Oryzias latipes: one gene and its partner. Each later gene encodes a partner of the first gene's protein in a complex. Links are inferred from orthologs where the notes say so. Each region holds a gene or a part of one and is shown in the gene's direction. Other genes may lie near its edges.

Region 1 (11,660 bases):
ACACAATCTGCTCCTATGACCTTCCTTCCACAACTGACTCTGGAGTTTCCAGATATTGTCATTGGTGAGTCTTGGTCATTCAGGCGGTGAGTCGTACAAGTTTCATTATAGAGTTTGAACATCTAGACCACACAGGGATCTAAGGTGGTATAAAGGACATGTTTCCTGTTTGGATCTGTTTTCCCACGTTTCTTGTAGGAGTTATGTTCTAAAAATTGCGATAAGTAAAATCCACAAAGTAGTCGTCTTAATTTTAATTTTCCAGACGGCACCCCTGACTACACACTTTTCTCAGCCAGAAATGAACATTTTCACACTTTTCTTTATTGTTTAAACTCTCAAATTTCAAACCTTTGTAGAATAATAGGTCCAGTATTATAAATTGAAAACAAAGATCTGATTGCGATGCATTATTTCTGTAGATTTGGTGAACTGAACACATTCTGTTCAGGAGACACGACACAGTGGAGATTGATTAACAATGGTTCCCGTATTTTGTTAGATAAATTTCTCCTAAAAGTGTGACTTATACTTCAGTACGACTCGTATAGGATTTTGTATTTTTCGGCTGCTGAGGCTTATACTCCGGAGCAACTTATGGTCTGAAAAATTCGTACATAAAAGAACTTTCTGATGGACGTGTTTTAAAAACGCGTGGATTTTTTCTTTGACGTGGCCTGTAAGAACTAGAACTTGAAGTAGGAACATAAAATACTCACGGCTTCAGACTTGGGTGGGACAGGAGGTGGAGTAAGAGGCACATCTAAACTGGCTATAGGACAGACGGGACAAGAGACTGGGAAGGACAGTGGAGCTGCGACAGGACAGCCGTTGTTGACACCTCGTATTCCTTCACTTGAGGAGGGTTTAGGCGTCTGTCCTCTTAAGTGATCCAACCACAGCTCCTCATACGGACCGTCCAGCTTGTTGAAGGTCGGCTGTTGGGTCGTGCTATCCAGCAGCTCAGGGAAAAGGTGCTCGTTTTCTCCCGATTCAGAGTACTGGCCGTCAGAGGGCAGAAGAGTCCAATCTCCACATAGCGCCATGCATCCCTGCAGGTTAACTTCACTGTTTCCGTGCAGGTTGCTTCCGTAAACGCACACAGACAGTCGATGAAAGGACTGGGTGAGTTCATCGCGGGCGTACGTTAAGGAGTTGGGGATCTGTATGTGGCTGCTGCAACCGTTGGAACCGCCGTTGCCTCCACTGCTTCCGGAGCAGGTGCCATTCCCACTGCCTTTGTTGGGACTTTTTACGTCGTCGCTCCAGTCTGTCCGCACATCCCGGACGGCCCGGGAGTAATCGTCTATGTCAAACTGCTCCTGGCAGAAGGAGAACCAGCGATGCACCATTGTCTCCAGCCACAGCTCCCCTTGCAAAAGCTCCTCTGGGACGATGAACCTCGGCATGGCCATATGAAAGGGAAAATGGAAGGGAATGATTTTGTTGTTCCGCAGAATGCAGCACACAACCACCGTCTTTGTCTGGATGTTGACCAGCTTATAGCGGTGACCCTCCCGGACGAGGTGAAGGTCATACTGGTTCCGGGGTGGACTGCTGGGCACGATGACATTGACGGGGAGTCTGGTTTTTTCCACGATGTTTCTGATGGTGTGCTCGCCGTCCTGCATCTGAAGCTCCAGCGGGCTGCAGGTGCTAAACCTGCCTTTGCACTGAAACGGGAGACTGATGCTCTCGTTTGTGCGATGGTTCATGCAGATCAAGCACGGCATCTTGCCCCGGCCGATCTTGCTGATGGAGTGAAGCTTCCCGATCTTCTTAAAAATAGTGTTTAGTCGTGATTTTTCTTTGGAGCTTTTGGCGTAGAGGATCTCTGCCTGGCCCATTAATGTGAGCTCATCACCGGTGCTCAGCGTAATGTTGTAAACTTCTGTCTCTTCATTGCATTCCCCTGAAGCCATCTAGGACAGAAAAACAATTATAGAACATTAACCTAAACTAGTTAACAGCTTCTTTCTATTGAGCAATCAACCAAAAAAAAGACACAGACTATGAAATGCCTGTTTAAAACCACTTTTTAAAAAGTTGTTTCTGTGTTTTTCATGACTGGTTTTTCTCTGAGGGCTTTTACTCCAGGTGCATTGTGGTATTGATAAGGAAGTCATGGAATGCAAGCTGGCAGCTGTTAAGGGCGGTCTGACTTTCACATTTGGTGGTTTAATTAAAACAACTTTAGCAGAAAACAACAACCAGTTCCCCCTTCAGTAAGACGAAGGAAATGGAGGATTGTGCTTCAGAGTTGCCAAACTACCACGTTTCCCAACATCTGGCCACACCAAGTTAAAACATTCATGGCATCAGTTCCACCAACTTCCATTGAACTCTAAGAGAATCAGGTCTAAGTGATTTTTGGTAGAAGTCTCTACAATAAAAGAAACGTGATACACATCATTTCATAGTAATGCCTATTAAAAAAAAGAGATGAACATTTTATGAACATAGACGTGCTATAGCATGTCCTGCTGCTGGAAAAAACTGGAAATGCCTCCTAATTAGGGATGTGGATCATTTCTTAGATCAACGATTCACAGATCAAACCACAATTCTTTCCATTTAATATATTATGAATGAATGGTCGCCTCATGTACGTGTTTTTGTTGGATCTATAAACATCATTTACACATTTGTTCAGAACAGGATACAAGAATCAGCAAAACATAAATAAAAGCTCAAATATTTTAAAAGAAAGAAAAGGTATTTGTCACTTTAAATAATGTCACACTTGTGTAAGTTTTTCTGTAACCTTCCTGGTCAAATTCAGTAGTGTACAAAACATAATCGTCACTGTTGCTTTGGATCGTTTAACATCCAGTCCTGGAAGTGTTCTCCACAGTTTTTCCATCTTCAGAGTTTGGCTGACTAAAGTTCCAGTAGATGGATGATAAGAAAACAATAAATGAAGACACAGCAACACCTCAATAAAAGTGACTCTGTAATAAATAGGAACTGTTCTTTAATCTAAACTAACAGCAGAGTTTCCAGCAAACATATTTTATTAACTCACTGTTTTCATCTTTAGTGGAAAACACAAAAAACCTCCACACTTTAGATGAATATTTTGCAGACATGTTCTGGTACGTCACATAACTGAACAGAAGATTTTAATAATATTTTAAAATGTCCTATTCATTCTAATTTTTCTTTAAATTATCAACTACTTTTTAAATAAAATGTTTTTTTCAGAATTTATTTCAAAATTTTACTCCCATTTTTTGTATCTGAGAAAACACTTGATAGCTTTACTTTGAAAACGAGAACCTTCTCTGACACTTTACTCTGAAAATTTGTTTACTTCCTGTGACAGAAGTCCATTCAGTTTGTTTAGTTTTTAAACTTAAAATCCAACATTTTTCTGTATTTTACAGTGATAATTTATTTTTTATATATATTCCACTATATTTCCACGTCACAAATATTGGTACAGTTTTCTGGAAAAGATGGCGTATATCTGAGTATTCGGATGCTCATCTCGGTCCTATTCATCAAAATGATCACTTTGGAAGGGGAAAGTGTACCTTAACATTAAACGTGATGTCCTCCATGACGTACACTCTTTCGGGGAAGGCTTTGGCCACCTCCTCCACACTGTTGAAGTATTGCACGGGCTCCTTGACATCTCTGTCCTGTTCCAGCAACTTGAACTGGCCTAAGCAGAACACGAATGATTAGTGCTGATATTTTCCATCGCTTCTGCCATCACATGAGAAGTAAGCAGTTGGTGGTTCATCAGTTTCTCAAAATAATCACTCAGAAAACTTTTGAAAGCATACACGATGAATAATTTAGATAAGAAAGAGCCATTTCAAAGGAAGCACCATCTTCATGGCGGCTCCTTACCTTCATAATGAACTGGGATCTCTATTTTAGGCCCAATCACATAATGTCCCTCCTCTAGACTGTGAGCAGTTATAGTTGTCCACTGACGGCAGGAATGAATCAAGAGGTAGTCGTTTTCTCTGAGGCCCTCAACCAACTGAGCTGCAGAAAGGAAGTTTAACAATCAACCAAAGTACACAAAGAGTTTATGATACAATCAGGTCTGGATGAAGCTTTTAATAATATAGTCTATCCAGTGAGTTGCTTCCTGAAAAGGAAAATATTAAGATTTGAATAAATAAATGTGTCAGAAATTACACATAAAAATGTATGTTCAACTTACAAATAAAGTTTTTTAAAAATGAATCAAGTACTGGACACGAGCCTTTTTACTTCAAAACATTACATTATGGATAACCATCACCTGCTAAAAGAGACATTTTAAAAGGTAATTTAAAATCCATTAGACATAATCCCACACAATTTCTGCATGTTTTATACATTTAAATTATGAAATGAAAAACACAAATTTAACTAAGTAGATGTTAACTTTTGTCAAAGACACTTTCTAGTTAAATAAAGTGTAGACATACTAGGGGACTCATGATGTTGTGAAGGCAATGTTGTTGTTTTTTTACACCTTCAGCGTTTTCCTTTGATTAGCAAAATAGCCTTTTCGTTTTTACTTCATGACCTAAATTCTTATTCATTACCATCAAGGTTGCTTTTATATCAATCAGTTTATAGCATTATTGCACTAAAGCGAATCTTTGTTTTTCATTAGCTTAGACTAGAGCTGATAAGCAGAAGCCTTAACTGGCTAGCATGGTAGCTATAAAACTTGAAGTAAGTTACTAACCGTTATCCAGCATGACAATTTGTGGCAACTTGTACGCACTGACCAGCTGGTCTAGCGGCAGAGACGTCGTGCTCCACGTTACATCCTTTAAGTTATTGTACAACATCGTTCCAAGGTCCATTTTGCTAGCTTAAGTTAGTTAGCCACTTTTTGAGCTAACTGGTGCAAAACACGGTCACAAAAAAGCTTTCCCGAGCAAACTAGCTACACAATTATAGCTGCTCTTCATCTATGCAGTTGTGTCATGCACATGACGTTCCCAAGTCGTAGCTGCATAGTTCCCTCTAAGTTTCCCTACGTATCCAAAAGGTTCGTTGTTAGAAAAAGTAGCCAAGCCATGTTTGTTTAGTAGCGACGGCAGTATCAAGCTAACTATTCTAACGGAAATACGTCACTTTCTACAATTTTATTTTTATTAAATAAAAGCCTTTCCCTTTTCCCCCTCCAATTAAAATTGATGAATAACAAGATTTAAATCCCGGAACAACAACTCAAATTATAACAAAATTATACAAGTACATAGCAGGTGATAAAACATTAACAAAAGAAGGGAAAAGGCCAAATAAAGTGCATTCTTTAGGCTTTTCCATTAGGTTTAATTTTTTATAACCACTTCAATAATTTCACTGCGTTTTCTTTTGTTTGTTTTTTTGCTTATTTTTATTTATTTTTTACTTCTCACAAACAATTGAACTCCTTCTGATAAAATAGTCTGGATTACAAATTAAAAATCTATTTTAGTAAATAAAATATATTCCAAAAATTGTGAAGTTTCGTATCATTTCGTAATAACCAATCGATACATTTTCTAACTTTATGGCTTAGCTATTTTATATCTTATCTAATTTTACATCTTAGCTTTTGAAATAAAAGTGTTTGTTCCAACAGATGTAGAAATTGGATTTTAATGGAATGGAAGAAGTATTTACTATTTACTACATACTAAAGAAAATGCATTTAATTAATTCAAGATAAGTACCAGAAAGTATATTTTTGTCTCGCTAAAAGGTTGGGGAAATAAGAAAAATTTTAAAGAGTGTTGGCCAACAATTCAACAATTTTAAGGACAAGAGAAAAAAAATCAAAACTCTAAAATAATTTATTTTCTTATAACTTTGTTAATGTTTACACTAATCTATATAACTTAAAGAAAAAGTCTATTAAAACCTGAGATGTAACCTTTTTTTTTTGTTTGTTTTTTCATTCTATTTTGTTTTGCAGACTGTAATGCCAGATTTAAGCCTCAAACTTTGCTAAATAATGTTAAAATAATGTTTTAATTACTCATAAGTTTTCATTTATCTCTTAAGGCACATAAAATAAAAGAATAAATTTAAAAAACATTGAGGTAATAAAATAACCTGTTCTTTTGTTTTGGCTAAATATATGGGTTCACACAATTTTTATTAATTCATTTTTAATCAGTGAAGTTTTGGAAAATCTTAACTTAAGGTAGACTTTGTGATGAGTAAATGAAAAAAAATGAAAAAAATACGGTATTGCTAATACAAATCCATGTAAATCATAAAATTAACCAAAGATAATGATGAGGTGGGGAGTACTACTATTGCACTTTACTTCATTATTTACTCTTAAAATACTACAGTAAATATTTAAACACCCATAATTTTTTCAGATCAACGATTCACAGATCAAACCACGATTCTTACTATATTGACTTGGACTCAAGAGCACATGGCGTTGATGCAAATTCATTGAACGTTGTCATCAACTTCCTGTTTTTCATGGCATAAATCAGAGAAACTTCCTCAATTCAGTCACTGTGTCTCAGCGGCAGCCAAAATGTCTTTTGTGGACACTCTGCGACAGTGGGATGACGGCGTAACCTGTGCTGACAAACAGGATTTTTCGGAAGCTCTCCGGATTCTCTTGGCCATTCCTGAGCCAAACTCCAAGATTTGTTTCAACATCGGCTGTCTGCATCTGCTTAACCAGAACTTGGATGATGCTGAAAAGGTAAAGTCAAGCATTTCTCAACTATTAATTTGCTCCTAAAATAGAAAACTAGAAATCTGAAAACATCAGTTATCTGGATGCAACCGGTGAGGCAGAGATTGAATTCGATTGTAGTGTAAGTGCGAGTCGCAGTGAAACAAGAAGTGGTGCTGAAAGCGTTTTTGTAAAGGAAGTTGCTGCTGTTTCATAGGCGTTCGATTGCAGCATTCGCAAGGATGAGCATTTGGCAGTGGCTTTCTTTCAAAGAGGAATCACCTTTTATAAGAAGATGAGGTAAGACACACCGGCTTTTTACAAACAACGACCAATTTCCTTCCATTTCATTCCAAATTCAGAACACCTGTTAAGTATTTGCACCTAAACCACAAGTTTTCACTGATTTGTTATGCAATTTATTTGATCACACATCTGTAAAGGTACGAAGAGAGCATTGGTGACTTCCAGAGAGCCTTCAAAACGCTAAGAGGAAACAACCTGATCGATTACAAGGCCCTTGGTCTCAGATATATTCTATATGCATGTGAGGTAGGTGTTTTCAACCTTAGGCACAATCTACTACATCATCACTAAATCATAACACCTTCCAATTCTGCTGTTTGCATGAGAAAAGCTCTAAATAAAATCTCTCCTTTCAAAGGTTCTCCACAACATGGCCCTGGCTGAGGCTCAGCTGGGAAACTGGGAAAAGGCTGAGCAAAACCTCAGGAAGGCGCTTGACTACAAAACAGACGCCAAGCTCAGTGTCATCGAAAAAGCTCAGCAGGCAGTCCTGGTTAGCATTGATCTGATGAAAAACGAGGGTTTCTCTTAAAGTGCCCAATTTACATGGAGGGGGGGGGATCTAAAAAGTAATTTTAACAGTCGACTGGGATAGGCTCCAGCAGCCCTGTGACCCCTATAAGGGATTCAGCAGGAATATAAATAAATATTTTAAAATGTTAATCCACACATTTAAAAACTATTAAACAAAACACATCTGCAGTTTCATCTCTGCTAAGGATCTCGTCAGAGTAAATAATGTCTTTATTTGTCCAGTAAGTTCAGGTCCAACCGTGCCTCCATGGAAAGTTTAGGGACAGAATGCGGTTTTGAAATGTCAGATTTAGGACATCTTTTTGATGCGATTTCATTGACAGAAGGAGAAGCTGTTCAAACTAGTGGAGTTCCCATCAAAAATGATGTTTAAACCAAATAAACATTACGTTGCAGAGCTGGAGAAGAAAGACTACCTGGGCAAAGCCAAAGTAAGAATAAATCTTTTTCATTGAAATAAATCATCTTACATGATTTGGGAAATCTTGAGGGTGAACTTAACAATCTGTGTATTGTTTGTTTGATGATCAGGTTGTTGCCTCTGTCAATCCACAAGACGATTTTTCTGGATTTGCTCCTCTGCAGCCACAGGTGACGGAGATTCGTATTTTTCGTTGCTAAATGCTGTGATGAGGCAACAAAAAATTCTGAAAAATTGTGAAATGTCCACGCAACCTTCCAGCTTGAAAATGAGCCTTAGAAGCATGCGATGTTTGTTTCTCCCTCCTACATTTTTTATTGACACTAAGCTAAAAGCAGTGACAAGTGTAGTACAACTTGTCGGGATCGAAAAAGTATCCATTCATCCATCCGTCCGTATCTCAATCACTTTTCAGAATAACCTGTAAGCAGAAAGTCAGCACATCTGCTATTCAAGCTGTTTAAAAGACAGAGAAGGTCACAAGTCCCTTTTTTCCAAGTCCAAATCAACTCTGAAGTCTCAAGTCTGTCATTTCAAGTCTCAAATTTGAATTTTAATGAAGAGTCTACTAACACAAATTGTCATCACATTTTTGTGGACATTAAAACAGACAGTTTATGTTTCGGCAAAGCTTCTTAAAGATAATTTTTTAACAAACATTATTTATTCACAAGTCCCAAACCTGGAGGTTAAATTCAAATATTTGCATGTGAGACTTTGGTCCAAGTCAAGTCCAAGTCACAAATACAAGTCCCTATCTGTCATTCCATCAGAACCAGAACATCAGGAGGTTGAGTCATGGTTTAAACACAGTCAGTAAACAAAATCTTATTTGTGGCAGGCTGTTGTGAAAAAATTCTTGAATCTTTGGATGTGCATTTAAACATTGCCCATGTATAAAAGATTTTATGCCTTTTAATTTTATATTTAATTTGAAATTAGGATTACCTTTTGTGAGTTTTGTGTGTACATCCCGTATACTAGACAGGACTGGGGAAAACACTGGAGCCCTCAAGAACCAGTATGACTCAGTAAATCAGGGACTGACTGGATAATCTCCTTCTTAATCACTAAACAGGTTGAAGATGGTCCACTTTCTCCAAGAGAACCAGAAGTTTTAAGGTACATCCCAAGTTTTTTTAAAAATCTATCAAGTAGAAATTGATAAAATGTTTTTTAATATCTTTTTGCTGAATGTCTTTGTCCTTTCGTGTAAAAGGGTTTTCTAATTTTCATCAAATTAAACGTCATCTTCCTTCAATGACAAAAAGACACGTGTGTTACGATACCCTTTGTGTGTCTATTCTTCATAGAGCCTTGGAAGGTGAACCCCACACTGTACTGTTTGAGTTTGTTCCTGAAACCTGCGACGAGCTGGCCGTGAAGCCCGGCAACATGGTGTTCGTGCTGCAGAAAGGGGCAGACAACTGGGCCTATGTCATCTTCAATGGAAGAGTAAGAATGCCGTATGCACAATCTGTGATACTTCTTGAGAGTGTGTGCATCATTTTTTTCCCCCAGATTGTGTGTTTAGTAGAGAACTGAGTGCTTATTCGTGGTTATGATTACAGACGGGACTCGTACCGTACAATTACCTGGAGCGTCAGGAGATCTCTCTGGCTTTAAAACAGAAAAAGGTATTGGTACTAGGGATGCAACGATTCACTTTCTCCACGATTTAGCACAAATTTTGATTTTTTTTTGGGTCACAGTTTTGTGTCATTTTGATATAAGATTTGTTTATAAAATGACAAAAAACAAAAAATTTGGACAAATCCTTTTTTTTAATTTGGTAATCAGCGAGTTACAATGAAGTGAAAGACTTCACTTGGCTCATACTTGGGGTTGGGGTAATGTAACAAAACAATAAATACTAGGATGTATTCAGACTGGAGAAGTTAGTTGGTCTAGACCCAGTTTGCCTAATTTGGTCTGGATCAAGTCCTGAACCTTGCATTTGGTCTGTACTCAGATGGCTTTTCAGCTGGAGATTTGTTTCGAACCAAAGCTTGTAAACAAAAGCATGTGATTGAAAATCTCTGCAACCATTGGCAGGACACAGCAAGGAGATAAATAATGAAAGTCCTACAATCCATGTCGGATTATCCAAACTTTATATTTTGCTGAACAATTTTGAACGTCTGTGTCGGAGGCTGCAAGATAACTGTTTATGACACAGATTGTCGGGAAACACTGTGAAAACAATGTGTATCACGTTAAAAGTTATTTTAATGAGCTAAAGAGTTGCTCATTAAATTTAATGAGTTGCTGCGTCTCATCGTCGCTCCACAATTCTCTGCGGCTCATCCGTTTACATCCTGTAAAGATGAGGTAGCCGTTTAGGTTCAGTTGTTCTGCTCTGAATATGGAGTCTATTCAGACTGAGAAAAACTCCAGAAATGAGTCTGATTGGAAATGAACTGAAACCACCTCGAAAGACGGATCAGAGAGCGGTTCCTGGTCCAGGATCAGGGTCTGCTTGCCAGGGTCCTCAGAATGAAACTTGAAATGAACTCTGGTTCTCTTCAAGTTGAGCAAATGTTTCCAATCTGAATACAGCCTGAATGCTTTTTAAATTTAGCACACTTGTTGAACACTTTTAACCTAAAACACTGGTATGCCGTGTTCAACGATTCACTTTAATGGTTTAACATACGGTTTGGTTTCTGATCAACACTTGTGGCATCCCTAATTGATACACAATATTTATATTTTTTATTAAAAGCTCAACTTTGACATGTGGAGTAGTTTCAATCTTTAAGTATCCTGATTTCCTCTCAAATTTTTGCGTGTTGTTGAAAATTGCCTTTAATGGGAATAACTGTCACCAGGGTTTGGTTCCAACTTCAAGTCGAGAAGCACCGAATATACCGGAGAGGACTCGAGGTAGATTTTATGACACACAGGCTTTAAAACATTCTCGTTTCCTCCGTTTCTCCATGTTTGATCTGGTCTGTTGCCGTTCAGGTCTCAGTTCTGGGAACGACAGCAATGGAAATGAAGAGCAGACGGTACGCTGAGACAAACCCAACAGTCAGTGGTCCTCATCATAAACGCCTCGTTGATCATTCGGTTTCCTTTCAAATCCAAGGTTCCAGACAGTTTATACATCGTCAAAGTTCACTTCACATTCACCTTTGCTGTCTCAATACCACGTGAGTCTTCCTATGAAGTGCTGATAAGAAAAATAAGCAAGAAGGTGAAGCTCCCGTCAGACAACATCTCCTTAAGGTAGAGCCATCATTTTAACCCCAAAACTGACACCTTCCATTGATCCTCATCTTTGTATGACAAAAGTTACCGTCGTATTTTGGCTTCAGCTTAGATTCAAGCGGACAACGTGCGATTGATGCAAACACAGACATGGAAACGGTGTGGAGCCAGGTCCGTGCCGGGCGCATCACTTTGTGGTGCAAAGAAAAGAAGGTAAGGAAGTGGTGGCGGCGCACAAACCAGGCGTTTCTGTCAACATCACCATTAAGCAACGAGATGCAACTGAAAGGAAGTTTGGACATCATATTCCTGTTTACTGAGAACTTTTGCTTCATCAGTGTGAATGAGTTCACATGTATGGGGAGGCCGTGGTGCAGCGGTAGGGCGGTCGACCCATGATCGTAAGATTGCAGGTTCGATTCCCGCCTTGCACGCCCACGTGTCGAAGTGTCCTTGGGCAAGACACTGAACCCTAACTTGCCTCTGGTGGGAGGTTGGCGCCAGTGTTTGGCAGCGGAGCCGCCATCAGTGTGTGAATGT
Region 2 (10,990 bases), on another chromosome or scaffold:
TTTTAAGTAAGAGATTAGAGTCAGTGCTACCTACACTTATCCATGCCGATCAAAATGGTTTAGTTAAAAATAGACAGCTATCTAAAAACCTTTGTTGTCTCTTTAATATCATCTTTACAAGAGGTGAAAAGCCCACACCTGAATTACTCATCTCATTGGATGCGGAGAAGGCCTTTGATAGGGTGGAGTGGTCTTACCTCTTCTTTGCCCTTTCAAAATGTGGTTTTGGAGACAGTTTCATCTCCTGGTTTAAATTATTATATGCTTTTCTGGTCGCCTCTATTCAAATGAATGGCTACAGATCAGAGTACTTTCCACTTGCCAGGTCCACAAGACAGGGCTGCCCATTATCCCCTTTACCTTTTCCTATTGCAATTGAGCCACTTGCAATCTCTTTACGCACTTTAGAGGACTATACAGGCATTGTAAGAGCTAAATGAGAACATAAAGTTTCACTTTATGCTGACGATCTGCTGTTATACATCTCAAATCCTAGCATTTCTTTTCCAAGCATAATGAGAAAACTAGCATTCTTTGGCTATAAGATAAATATAAATAAAAGTATAATTTTTCCAATTAATGACACCCGGGTCAATAGATCTGGAATTCCCTTCATGATTTCATACCAATTTGCATATTTGGGAGTTACAGTTACCTCATCGGTAAAAAAACTTTACAACCAAAATTTCGCCAAACTAGCAGAACAAACCACAAGTGACCTTGAGAGATGGTCTTTTCTTCCACTCTCTCTTGCCGATCGTGTGGGGGTGATTAAAATGACAGTGCTGCCCACATGTTTTTTATGTTTCAATCTATTCCTCTCCACCTAAGCAATTGTTTCTTCAAAAAACTAGACAAGAGAATACTGGAATTCATTTGGAATAAGAAAGTCTCTTGGATTAAACGGTAGTTTCTACAAAGACCAAAATCCTCAGGAGGAATGGGCTTACCAAATTTTCAGCTTTATTATTGGGCTTGTAAACTTAAAAATATCTCATTTTGGATCACAGAGAAATTTCCAAACTGGATGGAGATAGTACAGAACCATTGCAACCCTTCTTCCCCTAAGGCATTTTTTTTTTGCAGACATAACTACAATATCACTAAAAAAGATTAAGGATTTGGTTGTATCTCATACAGTCAAAATATGGAAACAGATTGTGCATCATTTTGGTCTCCAGGCAAATCCATTGTCAGGCCCTATTGTTAAAAAACATTTGTTTTCTCCTTCAATGAAAAATGTTAATTTTGCTGACTGGTATGATCGTGGACTGCGTGTTTTCAAAGATCTTTATATTGATGGTTTGTTTTCATCATTTGATCTAGTAGTTGAAAGACAAATATAACTTGCCTAATACTCACTAAAGTTTTTGTTAGGCACAACTCTCCAAATTACCCACAACTCCCAGAGGAATCTGTTACCGATTCATTATTCTTGAAAGACCCTGCGACTAGAGGAGGAATCTCACATTTGCATAATAAACTGAGCCACCTCAATGGCCACAGCACTTTGCAGCACTTGAGGGAGCTCAGAAGAAATATTTCAGAAGAGCAATGGGATCTAGCTTTAGGCTCCACACACACAACCTCAATCTGTGCCAGGCATGGTTTGATTCAGTCTAAGATAATACACAGGCTCCACGGTACAAGGCTCAGACTGAGTAAGATATTCCCTGTCGTATACTGTGAGCCTGTCCACAGTATACGCTGTGGACAGGCTCCAGCATCTTTGTCGCACATGTTTTGGGGTTGCTCTAAGCTGTCAAACTTTTGGTCTGATGTTTCTCTGACACTAGCTGCGTTTACATGGACAAAAGTAATCAGAAAGAATGCCTGATTGGAAGAAAAATGCGTCATGTAAACACGCCGTTCGGAATACTCTACCCCAATCAGACTTGTTGGGATCACAATTTCTTTCCGATCAAGATAGGTGGGTTATGCCGATTGTTTATCTGATCGAGTTGCATGTAAACAGTTCATTCCGATCGTGTGTCACTACTGCTCTGGTTTTACGTCACGCATAGAAGGTGCGGTGCTTAAGAGAAAGCTTTGGAGCGCGAGTGAACCGTGCCTGTGAGCAGAGCATCCAGAGTTATAGCTTTGTGTTTGCAGGCAGGGCGGTGGTGCTTTGGTGCATGTGCACTCCAAGGGGGAGGCTTCCGACCCGCCGCTCTGGGTTAGCGGCTGCCGGACTCAGGAGAACCTTGTGTCCGAGCAGAGCTTGGGCAGCCAGCTCACACAGCGGCTTTCGGGTGGTGTGTGAGCTTTTCAAACAAAGCAAAAAGGCTGCTCAGTCCTTAGAAAGCGTTCAAACAATCACGTGGATTTGTGTTTCCAGTCGTGTCCCGACAAAATAAAGGCTGATGTTTATTCCCACATATTTATGTCCAGCCAAGATGCAGATTGCGGCATTTCCCACATGGACTTTATGTTCGTCAAAAGCTAAATGTTGTTAGCCCGTGTTAGCCTTCTCCTAACCCTTCTTCCTGCTCCTTTCTTCCACAAAAAAAAAAGCACTGACCACACGGATTAAAATTGAAGTGATGAGGGAACAGGCGCTTCATGACATTAATAAAAGCACATTAAGAAGATCATCTCGTATATTACCGAGCAGCTGCATAAATGTATATGGCAGCTCACTTTGTTTACAGTGGGACTCATTTCTTCTTCAGGTATTTTCAACACTATTGCGCATGCCCAAATGATTTATTCCGACCGATAGTGTGACTATGTGAACATTCGTTCTAATTGGAAAAAGTTTTTCTAGGCCCATGTACACGGTTGAATTTTAATCCGACCACTGATCCGATCAAGATATTTTGCACATGTAACCTGTAATGTAACATGTAACATGTAATTATTTTTTTTGTCTTTTTTATTTCATATCTACATTATTCATTTTTTTCTTTCTTGTAATTTGTTAGTGTTGTCTGTTTTGAAAATATGTTAAAAACCCAATAAAAGGAAAAACATTTTTTTTTTAAACCCTTATAAATAAATTAAAATAAGAGGGAAATGTAAAACTACTTTACTCAAAAAACTGCAGTCACTTGCCTCATTTTACATAATGAGGCAAGAGAGCTTATTTTCCATTAATATTGTATTTTTATTTTTGTTGTAGTGCTTGTCAGATTTGAATGTCTGCCGTTTGATTTGCATCCCTTTCCTCATTCGGGAGTGCACTACTGTTCTGCGCCAATCTTTCGCTGTCAAGCTAACTTATGCTGTGAGTGCACATCCTGCTCTTGACTACAGAAATGATTATTTATCGTCATCTTTTTAATGGACAATAAATCCAACGCCGTCAACCACATTCCTAGGGATGAGAATGTCCGCAGCCCCATCAGTAAATGGGAAGTGACGAGGCGGACGGAGTGGTGAGAGTGTGGAAAGTCCAAAGGCCCAAAAAGCTTTTCTGGTTCTTCTAATGAGATTCCTCTTTAAAATGAATCGTAGTGGAGTGTCAAGGCCATTAAAGCACTCTCTCTGTTGAGGAAATATTCAGATACATGTAAAACCAAATTTATTAGTGAACTCTCATCTTAATATTTGATTGAAACAAATGTATCTGTTCAGCCAAATGAAATAACCAAAAACCAATGACTATTATTTTGTATTAATGTATGAAATCATTACAAAAAATGTAATACAGTCTTGTCATTTTGATGATTAAAGCCTATAGATGAGAAGGAAGGGGGGAAAAAAGGGAAAGGGAAAAAAAAAGACTTCATTGGGCTGCTTCTGTCCTGTGTCACGTCGTCAATAAACACTAGTGTCCCAGTGCCACTAGCAGCCATGCACGTCCAGGCCAACACACTGCCTCCACAGTGTTTTACTGATGATGTAGTGTGCTTTGGATCATGAGCTTCTCCACGCCTTCTCCATACTTTTCTCTTGCCATCATTCTGGTAGAGGTTGATTCTGGTTTATTCTATCCAAAGAATGTTTTTCCAGAACTGTGCTGGCTTTTTTAGATGCTTTTTAGCAAAGTCCAATCCAGCCTTCCTATTCTTGAGGCTTATGAGTGGTTTGCATCTTGCAGTGTACCCTCTAAATCTTCTTTCATGCAGTCTTCTTTTTATGCTAGACTTAGATATTGATACGTCTATCTCCTGGAGAGTGTTGTTCACTTGGTTGGCTGTTGTGAACGGGTTCCTCTTCACAGTGGAAATGATTCTGCCATCATCCACCACTATTGTTTTCTGTGGATGTCCAGGTCTTTTTGCGTTTCTGAGTTCACCAGTGCTTTCTTTCTTTCTCAGGATGTACCACACTGTTGATTTTGCCACTCCTAATACTGTAGCAATTTCTGTTTTCTCAGCTTAATGATGGCTCCTTTCACCTGCATGGAGAGCTCCTTTGACCGCATGTTGTCAGCAAAATCTTCAAAATGCAAGCACGAGTCCTCTAATCAACTTCAGGCCTTTTATCTGCTTCACTCATAATGACATAACAAGGGAATTGGCCACACCTGCCCATGCAATAGCATGGAAGTCATCTGTCCAATTACTTACAATCCCATGAAATGAAAGGATTTTTATGCAATCTTTTTGTTCAACCCATGGAATAAAAGCTGAAAGTCTGCACTGCAATGGCATCTGAGTTGTTTTATGTAAAATTCACTGTGGTAATGTACAGAAACAAAATGAGAAAGAACGTGTCTCTGTCCAAATATTTATGGTCCTGACTATATTTAGATAGTATACTTCCCACTCGTAGATGGTCTTTTGCATATTTGCTATTCTCATTTTTTAGTGTACTGAATAAAATGAAGTGCAAGTGTGTTACTTTTTGCTAGGAGTTGCATTCGCCCCACCCTATGATGGGTTGCAATAATCCCCATAATCCAGCACAGAACTAATCTGGAACAGAAATTGGATTAATTTAAAATTAAGCAAATATACTTGTATAGGTTTAGAGTTTTTTTTTATCTCTAATCAGATTGAATCTCGGTAAATTACTTTACACATTTCCTGAAATTGAGACACAAAGAGGTTGTGCACTGTTTAAAGTAGCCACACAACATGAATTATTGACCTTTGACCATTGTTTAAACTCTCAATTTAAATTAAATTTGTGTCTCCCTTTTGATTCTTTTTTCATGATGGTCAAGACAACTTTTTTTTGCTTTTTTCCGTTTGGTACAGGATCATTATCTACATTTCATTGGAAAAGTAAAATCCACATATTTCCGGAAAGAATTAAACAAAAAGAGCAGGAGTAGAAGTTCATGTGTAAGAAAAAAAAGCTAGTGGTTAAAGAATAAAGCTTATCTCAGATTTTTTTCAGTAGCTAAATCTATAGTTATTTAACCTTTGTTTTTCTCCCTTGGCTTCTGATAAACTAAATAACATCCTACCATCTTTTCAAATATGACTTCTGGTATTTTAAATATACTGTAAAATACATTGAAAGTTATTTATTTAGCTAAGAGAATTAAATGCAGAAAATCTACAAACTGTTAGCCAGGAAAAATCTGGAAAAGGAGAGGAAGTCCAAATAGTTAAAAAAATTCAAACACATTTACTTTCAGTCTTTAACGTTTAAGCACGCCATTACCAGACTTACATTTAGTTGTAAATAAAAAATAAAGAAAAATTAGGAAAATGTTCCATGTTTGTTTTTTCATGTCCTTAATTTGCAGTGGTACCCAGAGGTTCGCCACCACTGCCCTTCCACACCAATCATCCTGGTGGGCACCAAGCTGGATCTGAGGGATGAGAAAGATACGATTGAGAAGCTAAAGGAAAAAAAACTGGCACCAATCACCTATCCACAAGGCTTAGCTCTGGCTAAGGAGATTGGTCAGTTATACTCAATATTGTTTCAGCTCTGTTTTTTTTTTTAAATAAATATTTGTGATCTGATCTGTGATTTAATATGTTTACATGTATAACACTCAACCCTGTAACTAAAAATGTGCTTTTTGAAGAAAAATATAAAGCTTTTAATATATACGTATTTGATGTTTTATGGGACAAATTCATGTTGATTTAGATTTTACTTTGGAGCTTAAAAAAATGAATTAAAGCCTGAGTGGTGTTGTATGCAAGCAATAGCCACCCCCTCCTGATCTGCCCTCATTGGCTTTAGTGGCTGCTACACACCCCTCACTCTACCCTTCTGCCACTGCTACTTTAAACCCCACTTTTTTCAAAATGGCAGCCAGGTAGTGACGAACAGGTCTAAAAATAATTTTGAAGAATTGCCAAAAATAAATGTTTGGATTTCCTTGGCAACAGAGGGTTTTGTTAATCACGCCCACATTCCATTGTATGTCATATAATTTCGTTCCGCTTGAGCCAAGGATTCATGTATTATTTTTTGTGATAATGTTCCAGTAAAAACTGTGTGAGCAACAGGCGAACACCACTTTTGTGAGTTTGCCACACTTACACTGTCCAAAATCTACAACTTCTAAATCCAACCTTTTTTTTACCCAAGTAGCTTCCCAGTAATGCTCAAAAAGTTAAAAGGCGATAGATTAAATTCTATTGGAGGAGTTTAAAATTGTAGGTTTGTTTAAAAATTCAAGATTGTAGCTGCTTCTCATGGTCAAAGAAACTTTGGTGGTGGTCGTTGGTGTGTGACATTTTGTAAAGATCACCCAAACAAAGCTTGTCCTTTCCCATACATGTGCAAAAATATGAAAATCACCAAAGTTCAAACTTCGGCATGTAGTAGCCATCAAGCCGTAGAACCTGTGTCCATACTATGATAAAAACTTTGTTTGGATATGGCTGACATGTTGGTTTTGTTTCATTACTGAATGTTCAATTTCTTTTTTTTTTGGCCCCTTATTAGATTTTGGCCCAATTCTTTATTTGTTTATTTTTTACAATTTCACCTGCTGTGATTTCATCATTTTTGAGGGAGGGGTCATTCACTGTGTCAAAAATGCATTTTACCAGGTACTAAATATGTGCAAATTGTAGTGAGTTTTTTAGTATGTGTGTGTGTGGGAGGGGGGGGGGGGGTGACATTTTTTGCTTAAAGGCGCAGTAACAAAAAAGAATTGCTAAAACAATCAAATGTACTTATTTTGGTTTTTCTATGTTTTACCTGTTTTTGTCTTGTTTATTCTAAGAGAATTTGTTACAATTTTCTGAGGTTTACTGTGTGTTTGCATATGGACACAGATGCAGTGAAGTACCTGGAGTGCTCAGCACTGACCCAGCGTGGCCTGAAGACTGTGTTTGATGAAGCCATCAGGGCTGTGCTTTGCCCTCAGCCGGCCAAAGTAAAGAAGGCAAATTGCTTAATGCTGTAAATGGTAAGTGCAACATTATCCCTGAGAGGCAGGAGGAGAAATAAAAGGTGGAGAAATAAAACACATGCATTGACTGTGAGAGATGACTAGTGATATTTTAATGATTCAGGTTGAGAGGTTACAGGCTAGAAATAGTTGGGGTCACCTCCGTGTCTGGGCTCTGAAACTCAGTACCTTGAGAGGGGTTGGAGTTAACCCTGGTGGATGAGAGAGTCATGTCCCTTTGTCTTCAGGTGGGGGAAGGGTCTCTGACTGTGGAGCTGTTCCCAGTACATGATGGACTCCGGCAGTTCTGTTCATAGTTTTTATGGACAGAATTTATAGGCGCAGCCATGGGCCGGAGGGGGTCTGGTTTGGGAACCACAGGATTTCCTCTCTGCTCTTTGCTCTGCTCTTTGATGTTGTCCTGCTGGCTTCACAGAGCCGGGACCTCCAGCATGCATTGGGGTGGTTTGCGGCTGGGATGAGTCATGATTGCTAAATCTTTGATTTCTATCTTCATTCCAGTACTCACATATGGTCATGAGCTATGGGTAATGACTGAAAGAGCAAGGTTCCGAATACAAGCAGCTGAGATGAGCTTCCTCCGTAGGTTGGCTGGGCGCTCTCTTAAAGATAGGGTGAGAAGGTTTTTCACCCGCAAAGAGTAAAGCTGCTTCTCCTCCACATTGAGAGGAGCCAGTTCAGGTCGCTCGGGCATCTAGTCCGAAAGCCTCTTGGATGCCTCCCCGGGGAGGTGCTCCGGGAATTTCCCACTGGGTGTGGGCCCCGGGGGAGACCCAGGACATCCTGGACTGGAGAGACTGTGTGTCTTGGCTGGCCTGGGAATGCCTCTGGGTCCCCCCAAGAGGAACTGGTAGAAGGGGCCGGGGTGAGGGTAGTCTGGGAATCTTTGTTTAGACTGCGATGTCCTGGATGAGCGGAAGAAGATGGATGGATGGATGTTAAACATACATTCTTGAACGCATGTTTATCCCATGGCATTCACACTGGACAAGCAGGGAGGAATTTCTTCTTTTGCTATTGTTTTCTATCGCATGTCGGCCACCTACAGTTGGAAAAGGCTTAGTGTGAAATGTCAAAACGGTGCAAATCTTGTGAATCTTTCTTCAGGCTTTCTTTCACAGCTCTATTCCTGTATGTGAAAGACTTGTGCCCGGACAATTGAGCAATTAATAATTTCTCCTCCATGATAAGTTTTCAAACAGTTGGCACTTATGTGAATCACTGCCAAATCCGAGTCCCTGATTGGTCAAAGTTGGACCTGGGTTAACTTTTAATGCATGTTCAATAGCCGTACATTTGTTTGAAGAGCCAGTGGGGGAGTAAGAACATTTCATATGGACGGTTGGGAGAAGAACAGAAGACTTTAAATTAAGTTTTTTTTTTTTTTCATTTGTGATGTGCTGTTCACATTTGCCACTCTTCGAAACAGTTTTACAATTGTTATCGTTATTAAGTTAATAGAGCAGTTGTAATTATATTTTTTATTTTTTTGGCTGATGTTTATAAGTGCTTAAAAAGCTTGAATTTGTGATTTTTTTAAATCTTATCAAAATGATACTAATATTGACTCAGAAATTGGAGAGTTATTGGGGGAGTCCATTTTTTCTTTTTTTTTGCCTCTCCTTGCCTCCTTGTAGCTCCGCCCCTGCATAGAGCCCAAAAATGGTCAGAGAAAATTGCATAACCACGCATGAACATAAAGGTTTTAAACGCCGGAGCCTTAAACACATATTTTATGGGTTTACATAGAGTTTTTATTGGAAGTGGTGGCTTGAATGTGCATTGCCGAGGGCAGTGTGAACATAGCTTAACATAAACACCTTGACGTCTATTGATGCAAAAATGCAGCAAACCACTTTAGCTGCAAAATAACTTTCACTTAGCATCTATTTGAAAGCAAAAAATATAAGTGAAATTTATTTTAATATAAATTTATAATAAATTTATTTTCTCCTAGCTGAAAATAAATGCAGGCTTTAAGGAGTTAGTGGGCCTTATGGATCTCTGTTCTAACCTGCTTTTATGGTCTTCTTTTTAGATTCATTCGGTACCAAAGAGGAGTGAGAAGAGGACTGTGGATGTTGAGTTTAAATGACATGTAACTCTTTTATAACATCTCTACTAGAAGGTTTCAATAGGAGTCCACTTGTTAAAATATTATGCCTTTGCTTTCTTATTTACTTTAAAACTTTATTAATTTGCTTTGAATGGTCTGCTATGAGTGAGCATTGAAAAATGATGTCAAAAATTAGAAAGTTTCTGTTATATCTGTTGGTTTGCAAAAGAACGGGAGCAAAAGTAACAGACCAGAAAAAAATTGATTTATAAAGAAAAGCATTGTGAAATACAATTTCTGGCACATTAAATCAGTGTTTTAATTAATTTATGTTATGCTGAATTATGCTGAACAAGGAAAAGAAAATCAAATTATTTGCTACATGAGAGAATGCAACAAAATCCTGCTTAAAATGCAAAAAATATTATTATTTGTGGGAATGTTGAAATAAAATACTGTATACTATAACATAAAAATATCCATGATCACTTGGTGCTCTTTCTTAAAGCAACCCTACCTTTTTCCTTTTGTTTTATGACTCCATCAGGAAAGAGTGAGCTCAGTCCTTCTGAGGTAATGCTAAAGTAACATATTGCTGTTTTAACCCCTTCTACTAGCATGATCAATCTTACTTGGCTTTTCCCAAAGGCCAAACCATTATGGCAATGATATCAGTCAGACTAATATGCACAGATTATTGGTGGCCATCTGATTAATGGTGGAACTGGAGGCATTGCTACGTTTCTGTTGGGAGTTTTAGTGTCCAGTTTTTTTTTTTTTTTTTGTATTGCCAGTATAAATCAGTATTAGTGGTTTTAAAAACTCACAGTAATGTCAATTCTAGTGAAAATTATCATTAAAGCATGTACTCCTGTAGATGCACCCCTCAAGGATTAGAAAAAATGAAATACTTTAAGTAATTTTCAGGATTGCCTCATTAGAAGGCATCACTGGAATTTAATAGGGAATAAGACTGCAGCAGGTTGTGTGTTTCATGGACATATTGCCACAGAGCAGCAGCCACCTTTTCACATCTGTACACACTGCTGGAGTATGAAATATTCATCTTTTTGTTATAGCATAGGGAGAAATAGAATAAGCTTATGGGAGTAAATTTACATAGAAACATGCAACCTGGAAATAATTAGTAAAAACCTTGAAACTGAACATTCCCCAACTGACAATCCTTTGCACTTTTAAAAAAAGGGAATACAGTGAAGAGCAATGTTGATGCAATCCACTGAAAGAAATTGTCATTCAGTGCAAATCAATTTCAAATTCTTTCCACCTGAAAACCTCTTTACAGGTTCAGCGATTTGTCAAATAGAGTAGACTGTTGTTGAGATTATGTTTGGCTTGACAATTGCAGAAGGTTAGAGCCAACAGCTCAGATAAGATCCAGATAATGTTCACTATGATTGGTGGAAAAGTGTTCCATCATGGACGACTTTAAACCAAAGGTGCAATTTAAAAGTAAATGGACCCAGAGTCAACCAGGATGAAGCTCAGAGCATGAATTCCTTTACAAACTGCTTCAAAAATCTGATTGCAGGGGGGAGAATTTTCCATTTTCAATGATTTCTTTAAAACCATCGTTTTTTTTAAACTTATTCCTACGAAAAAAAAAAAAAAACCTGGAGTCACACGTTTTGACTCTG

What was found.
Region 2: ncf2 (region 1) and ras-related C3 botulinum toxin substrate 2 share a complex: the UniProt entries of both Homo sapiens proteins name them as parts of the phagocyte NADPH oxidase complex. The link is inferred for Oryzias latipes from reciprocal best matches to the Homo sapiens genes NCF2 and RAC2.

The regions. Positions count from the first base shown.
Region 1 is NC_019878.2:10,708,100-10,719,759, reverse strand, and holds the start of ncf2 (neutrophil cytosol factor 2), read left to right. Parts: upstream 1-6,269; 5' UTR 6,270-6,499; coding exon 6,500-6,673; intron 6,674-6,863; coding exon 6,864-6,946; intron 6,947-7,089; coding exon 7,090-7,198; intron 7,199-7,310; coding exon 7,311-7,445; intron 7,446-7,809; coding exon 7,810-7,917; intron 7,918-8,017; coding exon 8,018-8,077; intron 8,078-8,985; coding exon 8,986-9,029; intron 9,030-9,220; coding exon 9,221-9,362; intron 9,363-9,478; coding exon 9,479-9,544; intron 9,545-10,738; coding exon 10,739-10,793; intron 10,794-10,874; coding exon 10,875-10,918; intron 10,919-10,998; coding exon 10,999-11,138; intron 11,139-11,227; coding exon 11,228-11,333; intron 11,334-11,660. Other genes in the region: garem1 (GRB2-associated and regulator of MAPK protein 1), read right to left, coding at 720-1,922, 3,537-3,667, 3,859-3,999, 4,697-4,817. UniProt on the Homo sapiens protein: Subunit of the phagocyte NADPH oxidase complex that mediates the transfer of electrons from cytosolic NADPH to O2 to produce the superoxide anion (O2(-)).
Region 2 is NC_019859.2:25,183,716-25,194,705, reverse strand, and holds the end of ras-related C3 botulinum toxin substrate 2, read left to right. Parts: intron 1-5,644; coding exon 5,645-5,804; intron 5,805-7,139; coding exon 7,140-7,270; 3' UTR 7,271-7,273; intron 7,274-9,314; 3' UTR 9,315-9,810; downstream 9,811-10,990. UniProt on the Homo sapiens protein: Plasma membrane-associated small GTPase which cycles between an active GTP-bound and inactive GDP-bound state.